Linked DNA regions of Callithrix jacchus. The protein of the gene in region 1 purifies or fractionates together with the protein of each later gene. This does not show direct contact. Links are inferred from orthologs where the notes say so. Each region holds a gene or a part of one and is shown in the gene's direction. Other genes may lie near its edges.

Evidence for each region.
Region 2: the proteins of AKAP5 (region 1) and PRKACB purify together in Homo sapiens (affinity purification with mass spectrometry; 4 studies listed by BioGRID and IntAct, counting the BioPlex papers as one, with this or other methods). This does not show direct contact. The link is inferred for Callithrix jacchus from reciprocal best matches to the Homo sapiens genes AKAP5 and PRKACB.
Region 3: the proteins of AKAP5 (region 1) and PRKACA purify together in Homo sapiens (affinity purification with mass spectrometry; 6 studies listed by BioGRID and IntAct, with this or other methods). This does not show direct contact. The link is inferred for Callithrix jacchus from reciprocal best matches to the Homo sapiens genes AKAP5 and PRKACA.

What each region holds. Positions count from the first base shown.
Region 1 is NC_133509.1:99,114,821-99,119,972, forward strand, and holds the start of AKAP5 (A-kinase anchor protein 5), read left to right. Parts: upstream 1-2,104; 5' UTR 2,105-2,217; intron 2,218-4,736; 5' UTR 4,737-4,997; coding exon 4,998-5,152. UniProt on the Homo sapiens protein: Multivalent scaffold protein that anchors the cAMP-dependent protein kinase/PKA to cytoskeletal and/or organelle-associated proteins, targeting the signal carried by cAMP to specific intracellular effectors.
Region 2 is NC_133508.1:121,454,495-121,458,128, forward strand, and holds part of PRKACB (cAMP-dependent protein kinase catalytic subunit beta), read left to right. Parts: intron 1-2,181; coding exon 2,182-2,307; 3' UTR 2,308-3,634. UniProt on the Homo sapiens protein: Mediates cAMP-dependent signaling triggered by receptor binding to GPCRs.
Region 3 is NC_133523.1:12,894,037-12,899,010, reverse strand, and holds the start of PRKACA (cAMP-dependent protein kinase catalytic subunit alpha), read left to right. Parts: upstream 1-1,797; 5' UTR 1,798-1,997; coding exon 1,998-2,043; intron 2,044-4,974.

The sequences.
Region 1 (5,152 bases):
ACATAAGGAGACCCTGTCTCTACCAAAAAAAAAAAAAAAAGCAGCAGCAGCATCTGGGCATGAAGTCACATGCCTGTGGAGGACTGAGCCAGGGATTGTGCCACTTGCACTCCAGCCTGGGCAACAGAGCAAGATCCTGTCCCAAATAAAAATAAGACAGCTATTCTACCCTGTCTGCACCTAAATAAGCTCATCTTATTTTTTGGTCTGAAATTGTTGCAACTCCCAGGTCTGCTAGTTTTCAGAAACCTTGGATCTCAATAAGGAATAGTTCTCATGAGTATCATGGAATTCTTTTGGCTTAAAGTTCAAAACTGGCAAGAAGCAGGGCTAGCAACCCATAGAGAGACATGAAGAACATTTTCATAGACATGTTTGCTGAATGAACAAGGTTGACTGAGTTTTGTTTTGTTTTGAGACAGGGTCTCACTTGGTTGCTCAGGCTGGTGTGCAGTGGCACATTAGCAGCTCACAGCAGCCTTGACCTCCTGGGCCCAAGTGATCCCCATCTCATCCTGAGTAACCAGGACTACAGGTGTGCCACCACGCACGCCTAGCTAATTTTTAAATTTTTTTTATCTCCCTATGTTGCCCAGGCTGGTCTCAAACTCTAGGACTCAAGCCATCCTCCTGCCTTGGCCTCACAAAGTCAGCCACTGCACCCAGCCCTGAATTCTTAATTACAACTAAACTTGATGCTTATGGATTTTCCTGCTTTACAACTCTTGTCTCTTTTACCTGTAAATTTAAGATCTTGACAGCTTATATTTGCCTTTGCTTTTGTGTTCCAATAGTTCTATCCTTGGTAAGCCTCTGTGGAAACTACAGAATCTTACAAATATAAAACATTTCCAGAAAAACATCCAAAAATGGACACCTGACATTTATATGCCCTAATATCTTGATCCTGTTGAAGAAAGGAGATGAGCACAGCTGCTTTTCAGTAGTTCTTCACTCCACCTTACTAGGTTCATCTGGATGCTATGCTGTGGGGGACAGACGAGGAAGCTGGGATTGTGAGGGATTCTACTAGACTTTATGGCTGGATCGCCCAGGAATACTCTCATAGGGAGTACTAACCCAAAAGCAAGTCAGCTTCAACTCTAACAGCATCACCTTTCATAAAGTACATGTTAATGCTTTATGTGTACAAATAAATACTTGTGGTATTTTTCACTATGGCAAGCTCCGAAAATGCATGAAGATACGTAACCTAGTCAATCAGGTGGGCAGATGGTGCCTGCACCCTTTGCTGTGACTGAGACTGGAATTGTGAGCAATGTCCTCTCCTGTTCTCCACCCGCCTCCCCACCCCACCACCCCACTTCACTGACAGTGGCGATGTCAAGTAGGCAGCTAGGAATGTCCTAAAGGGAATCATGGGTAACTTGTAAGCTACCTCAACTTATTTTTGTTACTATGTAAAGTATAAGATGGATGGAGCTGGGTTCTTGTGCCTTTCTCACCTTGTCTGCATAGAGATGCAGCTGCTCCTGCAGGTCAAAGTTCTGCGCGAATCACCTCCACCTGCGTACTATTGGGAAACAAAGGTCTGAGAGCCTGTTTGGTGATGAACCACGATGAACTCCTTAACACTCAAGCCACTCCTCAGAAAGTCGGGTTTCTTTCCGTTTCCATTCATATATGTAATTTTCGCTTCAGACAAACAGGACACCTATTCTATGCAGTTTTGAATCCCTCTTTTAAAATGGGATGTCTGCCTTGTCTAAATTTTCTGAGGCGGAGGAGAGGGGAAGTGTAATGGGACCGTCTATAATTTGAAACCCGACCTCACTACTTTGCGTCTCAGAAAACGCGGGGTTCGTTGCCCTGGTCCCCGCGGTCCCCCAACCTTCCGGCTGGCTCTCTCGCCGTCCTCGCCTCGGCGCTGAGGTGGTCAGGCGGCAGGGATTGGCGTCCGGGCGGAGCATGGTGGACTTCCCCGCGGCAGGCAGGCTGCTGCTGCAGGTGGGTCCGGGCGCCCGCACCGCCCCCCACCTCCCGCGGACGCCCCGCCCCTGCCCGCTCGCTCCGCTCGCATTGGTGCTGCGGGCTGTCTGTCCCCGCGCGGTGGGGAGGGGGCGCACTAGGCGGCGGGTTCCGCAGAGGGCGCCTTGCTCCGTGCGCGACCGCGGCTCCCTGGAGGCCTGGGTGCCGGGCCCCGCGAGCGCGCCGCGACCTCAGGAGCAGTGTTGACCAAGGACCCCTGCGCCCTCGGTGAGTGAAGGCAGGGCGGGGAGGCTGCGGGGGAGGAGGGCCGGGGGCAGTGTCAGGTCTGCGGATCGCAGAGTGAGCAGGGGGTGTCCATTGGACACTGGGGATCCGGGCACCCTGAGGTGCTGGGATCGCGGGAGGTGGCTTGTCTGCAGGAATCCGCGGACAGGGCGACCCTCATCAGGTCTGCCCACCTATCTCCTTCGCGTTACAGCTGGTCTTAGAAGCAAGGGTTGCCGGTGGCTTTTTTCCTTCTTTATCCCTTTGGGGAAATGTGATTTTGGGTTTATAGCCATTACATTATAATTCTACAGACAGCTTGAAGCTGGGTTATCTGTTCCACGCCCCCAGCATTTTCCTTTTTGAGTACTTTATCCTGCGCGCTGTCTCCTGCCATAAGGGGCATCAAGCCAGAATTCGAGATTCCTTCCTCCAGGAGGAAGCTTCGTGGTCCATATCTGGTGCTGGGAAGGATACATTGCTTTCCTCGGGTAGTGGTTGCTCTTTGCTGCTCAAGGGAGAAAGGGAAAAAGGGTGTTTTCTGTGACAGGAGACTTGCAATTCTGTCAGGAAATGAGCACAGGGACTTTAAGATTTCCTGAGGCGATAAAGATACCCTTGCTGGTTAAAGGGAAATCATTTGCAGTCTGACATTCTGCAAAGTTTTAATATCTACAGACAGAATTATTTTCCCCCTTTCAATTAAATTTCTGTTTGGGTATTCATTTTATTTCTAGAGTGTATATACATTTAAGTAAGCTTCTCAAACCATTGGCTTTGCACAATCCAGGTTAGTTTCTAAATGATACACTCCTAAACATCTCATTTCAATATTTCTATTATGTGATAATACATCCTCTGCTTAACAAAAATGCTCAGGTGCTGAAAACTCACAAGAGGTGAGAAGATTTAAAGTTATCAGCTGAGGTTCTAGTGCTCACTGCAGCATATAAATGTGAGGAGAAACACTGTCAAATGGTTCATATTTTAGTTCTATCATTGTTCTAGAATGACTTTATCTTTCTCGTAGAGGCATCAAGTATGAAACACCCAACCTAAGGGAATATTTACTTATCATAAACTGATTTTCAGGGTTCCAGTTCCTTCTACAGCTCATAAAATTATGGGTTACCCAAATGAAACTTCAGTGAAGGATTTACATGTAAACAGTATAAAGAATGAGTCCCTTTGCTTATTTTAGGGCGTCCACCCACTAAAATTCATAGGATCTTTGTTAGATAATCACCTCCCATTTCCATTCTTTAGTGCTATCATACCATTCTGTGGATTAAATTTTCAATACACTTTTATATTATCTAACAGTTTGCCAATTGCATAGTTTGTCAACTTATTTTTGGCTTTTAAATTATTTCCTGAACCAAAAAAATAAAATATAAAGAATTTCAAAAGCTTGGTTTTCAAATAACAAGAACTCAGTCTGGTCTTGGTTCAGTTATGAGTTGATTAATGGGTACCTTGTGGTTAAATGACCATTAATCAGTTTTTAAATTTCTTTACTATGAATATACTGCAGATTAGTATCCCCAAAGGATTCATTTTCTAATGAAACTCTTAAAGCCCAGTTTCAGAACATAAGCTTTAAGCAACAAGTAATCTTGTGTTTAATCTGAGCTCTGTTACAGCGATGCCTTAATCTCAGCCAAACTGCTTCATCTGTACCACCTTGGTAATATTGTGGTGAGGAATAGAAATGTATGTAAAGTGTGTGCACTGCCTAATACCCAAGAATTGCTCAATAAATGTCAGCTATTATTACTGACCTCCAACTATGTGCATATTATGGTGGAAACATGATACAGCAGATATAGTACTTAAATCAAAATGTCAAAATTATACAACTAATTTAAGAGTGTAGAATGACAGTAATGCTAAATTTTTCTAAGAGTATGTATGAAAAGTAGCACTTCCTTGATGGAACATACATTTTTAGAACAGAAACCTTATGTTATAATGGAAAAACTAGAGTGTCAAAGTCTCTACTTGTAACTCTGGCTATGACTTTGTCTATCCGCATGGCTTTTGACAAGACAGTTGCTCCCTTTTGGAGCTCAGTTTTGTCATTTGGCTGGATTTGAGTAATCTCAAATAATCTCTAAAGTCCTTTGCAGTTTTAAGTTATTTATTGAGTGTGATAAAAATTACATTAGCTTGCTTTTTATCCTGTACTTCATTTTTGGTTCTTGTTGTTGATTGCTTAACTTGCACTTTAGAATCATAAGCAATTCATACAGACAGCACAACTAAAGAACTGATAATATCAGACTTGCAGAGTAATCCAAAATGAAGTTTCAACAAAGAGGATAAAACAAAATAGAATTACATTGAACTCTTTAATAGGGCCAAAATAAACCCCAGTCTTTATTCTCCAGCCATTTCATTAGTAAATACATGGAAAATATGTCTGGTAGAATCTTATACATTCAACTGAAAAAGTCTCCATAGAAAATAATAGTGAAAAGCCTCATAGTGAAATAAAATATCACTTTCTTTTCTCTCACCAGGTTGATCTTTAAATAAAGCAAAAATTTATCCAGTAAAGGGCTTCCATGAAGAAATTTAAGGAGAGAAATTGCAAGCAATAGAGAAAGTAGGCATTTCTATACTAGAGAAACCACCTAAAACAACTGCATGGAGTAAAATGAAAGGAATGAATACACCTGGAAGAAATTTTACCTAGTGTGACATTTTTGCCCATCTTTTTGTCACAAAAGGCTAAGGAAGAGAGAATATAGTTCTCTAGAGAATAAGAGTACAGTGTGAAAATGGCAACCACAGTTTCAGAAATTCATGTAGAAAACAAGGATGAGAAGAGATCAGCAGAAGGTAGTCCTCAGGCTGAAAGACAGGAGGAAAAAACATCCATGCTTTGCTTCAAGAGAAGAAAGAAAGCAGCTAAAGCATTGAAGCCCAAAGCTGG
Region 2 (3,634 bases), on another chromosome or scaffold:
TTTCTATAGTTTGTTGCCATTCATGTTTTACCACCAAATAGAACGTTTGCCATTTGACTGAGATAGGTATTCTTTATCAGATTAACAAAATATTGTTGATTCTTAATACACTTATTTTATCTTTTTTAACATGTTAGTGTGATGAATTATATCAGGGAGACATCCTCACTTTCCTGGAATGAATACCATTTAATCATGGGGGTATGATTTTAATATTTGCCTGAATCTATCTGCTAAAATTTTATTTGGGCTTTTTACTTCCATAGTCAAAAGTTTTATTAATCTATAGTTTCTGTTTTTCTGAAGCTGGGATTATATGGGATTCATAAAAATGAGTTTAGGAAGTTTCTATGCATTTATTCTTCAGAAAATTTAGGAACATAGGATCATCTTATATCTATTCCTTATCAATTTTAACAAACTAATTCTTGGAGATTGGTCTCTTCAAGTTTTTACTTCTTGAGTAAATTTAAGAAATTTATGTTTCCAATAAAATCCATTTCCCTTTCTTTCTATCATCACTCATATTACCTTTATTATTTTATTTATTGTTAATTAATGCTTTTTAGAGGTATATTTTTAGACTTCCTTGAGGTTTGTCAACTTTATTAGTATTCTAAAGATTTCTAATGTATTTGAATCTTTTCATATTTGTATTTAGAAATAAAATCTTCTGCCAAATAGCAATTATTTACTAATCTATTCATATTATGTTTAGTTTTTAATAATTATTTCTAAAATGGGGTAGAACTAAATTGCCACTACTCATTTAGAGTTTATGTGCTTTTCAAAGGGCTTGACTTATCCCAGGTAATAAACAGCTAACCTACCAACAAGCACCACATTGTAACATACAGGTTGTAGTAATGGACAAATTGATTGACAGCTGAATCTTGATTATCAGTGAAACAGATGTAAGGCTCCCTGGATAATTTACAAATAGAAATAATAGAGTACTTTAATTTAGCCATTTATTTTAATATCTTCTCAACTATTATAACTATGCACAACAGTGCAAAAATCATAGTAAATATGAATAGTTTTCATTGTCTTCTTTGTTCTCTGATGCATCTCCAAATGCATCAAGGGGAAAAAAAGTCAGAACAAAGAAGTGGCCTGAACAATTCAAACTGTACAATCATTTTCTCCACATGATTGCCCCAATAGATTTGTTATTCTAAATTGCTGGCTGGCTAGACAGTAGGCAGCTATCTGCTTAGCTCATTCTTCTGGAGCATGCAAAACAGCAGTCCCCAAAACAGGGCATGCAAGGCAGCCAGCTGTCAAACAAAAAGATAATATGAGAAGTCTCATTCCTGCTTATTTTTACCTTATTCTTTTTAAATGCCTTATTTGTAGGTATATCTTATATAATAGCATAGTCATGCACCTAAATAACTTATAAGTAGATAACTACATCTATTATATGTACTAGAAAATGTTTTACTGAAAGGGATATAAGTTAAAAAGCTGTGGAGAATCATGAATTTGAAACCTGCTTTAGCCACTTATTAGTCATGTGAATTTGGTTGACTCTTTTATAATCTGTAAAATGGGAGTAAGAACACCTGTCCTTCCTTCCTCACAGTGTTGTATTGAGAACAAAATAAAGCAACTGTAGTAGTTTGTAAATTCTATAAAGGCTGTGCAAATTGTGAATTTTTTTTTAAGTTTAAGTTTTTAAAATCTTTTCCTCAAATGTATTCAGTATCCCCATTTAATCTTTACAGAAGACCATAATTGAAGTATTGGAAAGACATTTTAGTTTCAGGATCAAAGGAGAAAACTGTTTAAAGTTTAACAGTTCTCTCATTCTAAAAGAGATATGTTTCTTTCCAACTTCTCAGAAAGTTTTGATGGCCAGATATTTTAAACAAAATAAACTGGGGAATTAATAAAGGAAAGAAATTAAAAGTAAGTCTGAGATTTATCTGTAACTTCAGGAGAAAAGAATTTTTACAAAAGGGATAGAAAAAGATAAGGTTTTTAAAAACAAGGAACTGAAAAAGGAAGGACTAAAGTTTTATAACTTTAGGAGCCAGGATTTTGGTAATTATCCCAGAAATTTCTTAAGTATTTCATTGACCTGCATACTTCCTTGAATGAAAATGTTGAGGTTAATAGCTAACCTACTGCTTGCTGCTTCTTTTAGCACTTTTTTTTTCTCTCTCTCAATAATAGGTTGAAGCTCCATTCATACCAAAGTTTAGAGGCTCTGGAGATACCAGCAACTTTGATGACTATGAAGAAGAAGATATCCGTGTGTCTATAACAGAAAAATGTGGAAGAGAATTTGATGAATTTTAAAGAGGAACAAGATGACATCCGAGCTCACACTCAGTGATTGCACTCTGTTGAGAGATAAGGTAGAGCTGAGACCGTCCTTGCTGAAGCAGTTACCCAGTTCCTTCATTCCAACTGAGTGAGGTCTTTATTGCCATCATCCCGTGTGTGCACTCTGCATCCACCTATGTAACAAGGCACCGCTAAGCAAGCATTGTCTGTGCCATAACACAGTACTAGACCACTTTCTTACTTCTCTTTGGGTTGTCTTTCTCCTCTCCTACATCCATTTCTTCCTTTTCCAGTTTCATTGTTTTCTCTAAACAGTGCTCCATTTTATTTTGTTGGTGTTTCAGATGGGCAGTGTTATGGCTATGTGATATTTGAAGGGAAGGATAAGTGTTGCTTTTAGTAGTTCATGCCAATATTGTTGTTGGTCAATGGCTTGAAGATAAACTTTCTAATAATTATTTTTACTTTGAGTAGCTCAGATTTGGTTTTGCCAAAACTCTTGATAATTTTTGAAGACTGTCTTATCACCAAGGAAATGTATACAAATTAAGACTAACTTTCTTGGAATTCACTATTCTGGCAATAAATTTTGGCAGACTAATACAAACAGCTAGACCCAGAAATTTGGATTGCTACAAATCAGAGGTTCTAGTTCCCTTTCCCTCCTTTTATGTCCTCCTCCCCTTGAGCAATGAAGTGACCAGCCTTTGTAGTGTGACAAATGTGTCTCATTCAGCAGGAAAAACTAATGACATGGATCATCACTCAGATTCTCTCACTTGGTACCAGCATTTTTGTAGGTATTAGAGAAGAGTTTAAGTTTTCTAAACCTTAATTGTTCCTTAAGGATTTTAGCCAGTATTTTAATAGAACCTGATTAATGAAAGTTTTAAAGTTTCTTTTATAGTTCTCATCATAAAATTTTTAAAGGAAAATAAGCAAACTAAAAAGAACATTGGTTTGGATAAATACTTATACTTTTCAAAGTCAAAAAAAGGCTTGATTATTGCAACAATATAGAGGTACTTATCTTTAAATGAGGGTTAACTGTTTTGTTTTGTAACCGTTAAAAATGAAAGAAGTTGTTTCCAGCTAATGATTCTGGTGTACTATAGTTGTGAGCCTAGGGTAGGGGCACTGCTGCAACTTCTGCTTTCATCCCATGCCTCATCAATGAGGAAAGGGAACAAAGTGTATCAAACTGCCACAATTGCATTTTCATTTTGAGGTATGATATTTTCAGAGAGTTCATCATTTCTAACCTCTTTTCTCTCAATAAACAGAATGTCTAAACGATCGTGCAGATACAATTTTAGTATTTGAGAGGTTAGTTTTTTTC
Region 3 (4,974 bases), on another chromosome or scaffold:
ACTGTCCACTCTCCCCCAGAGGTGGCCTCTTGCGTGTTTAGTGGGTGGGCTGTCCCATATCTTCCCAGCTTCCCATTCCAGTCTTAATTGGTTCTACAGTTGTATTCCAGACAGGTTCCATTCCAGGAAAGGTTTTTCTTTGTCAAAACTTAAGCAAACCAGCTGTCCTGCATATAGATTATAATCAGTGATTTTTCAGACTTTGCCCTTGACCCACAGGAAGAAATAAACACCGTGATCCTAACACGCAAACAACACCGCTTTTGTTAAATTTTACTAAACCTTACCATGTAACCATCCAGAGGCGGAGTGGTCAGCCATTTCCCGGGAATCCATAGAAAGGCCCTGACCCTCCCCGGAACTGTGGTTGGCCTGGGACTGCGGGTGTGGGCTGTTCAAGTCTAACCAGCAGATGGGCTTGTAGTTCTGAGCCCAGCTAGCCCTCCCGAGTCCAGGTGACCTGCCTTCTCCCGTCCCCTGGCAGTGCCCCGGTCCCCTCGCTGCCATGTGGATGCTGTTGTGATTGCTGTTTGTATGTTAAAATGTTTTTATATTAAAAAATAATGTAAAAAGCACTCCTCATCAGTGCTTCTCAATCAGGAGCAGTTCTGCCCCGCAAGAGCACATTCACCAACGTCGGGAGACGGTGGTTGCCACGGCCAGCAGGAATAGGAGGGGCTACTAGCACCCAGTGGGTAGAGGCGGGGATGTTGTTTAACACCTAGTGGTGCACAAGACACCCCCCAGCAGAGAATGATCCAGCCCCACCTCCGCTGTCAGTAGTGTCGCAGTTGGGAAACCCAGACTGTCCTTGGCTAGGTGCGTACTGAAAGAGAATCCCGAAGGAAGGGGCAGGTTCCCTTTGCATTGCCCAGACAGGAAACAGACAGGGAATGTGAGTAGGGAATCTGCCTGGCTGTACCCCAGATTCTTCATCTGTGCAATGGGAGTGATGATGGTAGCACCTACGCGATGGGAGTATGGTGCGAAGGAGCGTTAAGTAGGTGCCAGCTCTTACTACTGGCAGGAGCCCAGGACTGGGGCCCAGCAAAGGGGTGGACACGGAGCGCCCCCTCTCAGCCACCCCTTGCGCCGGGGCCGGCATCCTCCTGCCTGCGGCTGGGAAAACCCAGGAGCCTCCGCGGCCTGGCCCCCAAGCAGGCCTGGCCACCACGACTGCCCAGCGCCAGGCCTTATGAATGACGCCGGCGGCGACCGGGCAACCTCTGACCCGCGCGCCGGCCGCTCTCCTCCCCCACTGGCAGGTGGACAGCGGCTGCGCCGGGCAGGCCGCGGCGCCAACCCCAGCTGGCCGACAGCCGCTGCCGCACTGGGCGGGGGCGGGGGACTGCGGCGTGCGCGGGGCCGGCCGGGAGCCCGCCGGAGCCGCCTCCTGAGCCTCCGAGTGCTGCGCGGCCGCCCGCCAGCCTCCGCCGCTCCGCCCAGCCGGCCGGGGCCCGCAGACTGCGCCTCCGCCCCGCCCTCTCACCCCCGGATTGACACTGAGCGTTCTACTGGGGGTTTGCGGGACAGCGCGCCTCCGCCAATCGGTGGCCTCGCGGGGCGGACCCCGGGCCCTTTCCAGCTTCTTGACCAATCAGACTCGTCTGCCCGCCCAGCTGCGGCCTCGCGAGTGTGTGAATGGCCGAGAGTCCCCGGTATACGTCACGAGGCTGAGAGCCTATAGCGGCGCGGCCTTCCCGAGGGATGACCAATGGACGACGGCGCGGAGCCGTCAGTCAGGGCGTCCTAGGCCAATGAGCGGCGGGCTGCGGGGGCGTCACGGACGGCAGCAGCGGACTTGGGCTGAGGTTCCCGGGCGGGCGGGCGCGGAGAGACGCGGGAAGCAGGGGCTGGGCGGGGGTCGCGGCGCCGCAGCTAGCGCAGCCAGCCCGAGGGCCGCCGCCGCCGCCGCCCAGCGCGCTCCGGGGCCGCCGGCCGCCGCCAGCACCCGCAACGCCGCAGCTCCGGGACCGGCCCCGGCCGCCGCCGCCGCGATGGGCAACGCCGCCGCCGCCAAGAAGGGCAGCGAGCAGGAGAGCGGTGAGTGCCCGGGCCGTGACCCCGATCCCGGCCCTGCGCTGCCAGCCCCGGCCTTGTCCATCACCGCCTGGCCCCTCCCCCCACGAGGCCCCCCCATTCCTCTCTGCCTACCCCCCAGCGCCCCTTGCCCCGGCCTGTCCAAGGCTGGGGCCCACGGGCCCGCAGAGTACCCCCTGTAGGGGTCCCCTTCCTCTAGGGCCGCCCCACACTGCAAAGACCGTGCTCCCCCCCAGCTGTCACTGCCAACCATGGCACGTATGACCGCTGGGGCCCCACACGGGGCCCTGACACCAGCCTACCCCTCCTTTCCTGGCCCCTCTCCCCAGATTCTAATCCCCCCCACTTCCTCACTCACCTCTCCCATGGGATCCTCTGCCTGACCCCGACCCAGGTTTCTGCCAGTTTGGGAATGAGATGGGGTCTCTCTGCCTCCACCGCGCAGGGACCTTGGCCACTTGGTGACCACACCCCTCCCCCCTCCAGCCCCCGCCATCTTTCTCCTGCCCTTCCCCTCTTCACCTTAGCACAGGCCCCCCTTCCAAACCCACCCTGCCCCCTGAGCTTTTCCCAGGCCCACCTCCAGCACTGTTTTTTTCTTCTGTGTCACTTGGCATGGGGGACAGGATCTTTCTGGGTCCCTCTGTCTCTCTCATCCTGTCACTCTGTCACTCTGCTTCTCTGCTTGTGCTCCGTCCTCCAAGGAAGCGTCTGTTCCTGGCTGGGTAGCAGACTGTTTATGAACCTAGAGAACTGCTTAAGTGCTTCCAAAGCCAAGTTTGAGCTGGTCTTGTTGGGATTCATTGCGTCGTCTTTCCTGCGTTGGGGTAGGGGGCGGTGCCAGAGCCCCCTCGCGGTTCCTGCCTTGCAGTGAGCCTTAGGCTCCTTGGAGGGCCTCTCAATAAATGGTTGTTTCCCAACTGAGGCTTCGTCATTCACCCAGTCCCTGGGGCTTCTTCCACCGCTCCTGGCTTGAGATGAAAAGTGTCTGGGTTTAGCGAGGTTCGTTCGCTTTGAATTGGGATGGTCAGAAAGAGCACTGGGGAGGTGGAGGCGGTCAAAGAGAGTAATGGGTGACGTCTAGTGATTTGTTTTGCCAAGGAACAAATAGATTCTGATCATTCCCAGCACTCAGCCAGGGAGAGACCTGTTTTACCCACTTGCCCCCAAATGCTGTTGGCCTTTTCCAGCCAGCCAGAGGAGATTCTGTATCTGGAAATACCCTCAGAAATGGTCTTAAAACCCATTCCCAGTGCTTCCAGCTCTTAAATTGTTCTCACTCCAGTCTGAAAGCTGGAAGGGACTGGGATCCCGTCTGATTACCCAGAAATAGTTCGGAACTGAAAAGGCAGGCCAATTTTGGGTCTCAAACCCCAGCATCTGAGTTCTCGGAATGCCCCCTCCCTGAAAGGGATGAAAGCCAGGGAACTTTATTCCCATATGGATTCAAATAGCAGAACTCAGAGTCACAGAGCAACCATGAAGAGGCCTGACATGTCACCAATGGGAGGGGGCCGGGGAGGGAAGTGCCCATAGCTGAGTGCTTGATGACCGAGGAGCAGGTGGGTGGTGTCCAAAAAAGGTCCGGGCATGAGCTTGGAGGGGACTAGGCAGAGGGGGAGGAGCCAGGCCCCCAGCAGGTGAGGCCAGCTGGGAGGTGGAAGGTAGAGGCGGGCAGCAATGTATTGCGGTGGCTCCACTGGAAGTTGGGGAGATGACAGTCCTGTGAAACCTTCAAGGCTATCAGACACGTGGTCGGGGGTGGAAAGCCGCACAAAGAAAAGGATCCCAGGAAAAAGATCAGAGGCTCTGGAAGGAACCGCTGATTCTCTCAGGGCACAGGTCAGACACCCAGGAATGAATGATCACTGAAATAGAGCTACTATTTATTGGGCGTCTAGGCTGCACCACTGGCCAAATGGCCAGGCGGATAGATACATCTACTCTGGTGACTTTCATAACGGGCTGTTATCCAGATTTTCAAAGGAGCCCTCTGATATAAATGACATCCATGACGGGCCGAGCACAGTGGCTCATGCCTGTAATCCCAGCACTTTGGGAGGCCGAGGCAGGTGAATCATGAGATCAGGAGATCGAGACCATCTTGGTCATGGTGAAACCCCGTCTCTACTAAAATACAAGAAAATAAGCTGGGTGTGGTGGCGCACGCCTGTAGTCCCAGCTACTCGGGAGGCTGAGGCAGGGGAATCGCTTGAACCTGGGAGATGGAGGTTGCAGTGAGCTGAGATCGTGCCACTGCACTCCAGCTTGGCAACAGAGCAAGACTCCGTCTCAAAAAAAAAAAGGAAGAAAGAAATGACATCCATGACATAGGTGATGTCACAGAGGCAGGATTCACATCCAGATCCATCTACCAGCAAACTTCCTGAATCCCAGAATTTCCCAACTCTGACATTCTTCAGCTGCCTCCCAGATTTTTACTTTTATCATATTTTCTTTAATTTAAAATAATAAAAATTTTTCTCACTTCTTTTCAGATGTAAACTTTGAGCTCTTTCTAAACAATAATATCAATGAAATCTTGGGTTTGCTATACCAGTTATATTTTCTCTGATACACATTAAAATACAGTGTAACTAGATAAATGAAACATACTGAAAATCATGTCATGTTCTGCCAATGGGACCATGTCACACTTTGGGAAACACCCGAAGCTGTACTTCCTCCCAGAGGCTCCCAGATAAGGAAATAAGATGAGGAAGGAAGTCCCTCTGCTTTGAGGCACTCTGATTCTGACAAGATGGAGTTAGACAAAATTTGCCCTCTTGTAAGGATGGGGCAGGGGCGGGGGCAGTAGCCAGGCCAGCCTGCAGGGGGCACCTGGATTTCATCTGCCAGATGCCGGCCCGACTAGGGTCAGGAGAATGTCCAGACCTTGGGAGGCACCAGTTAAGCATCCTGTAGTCAGTCCCC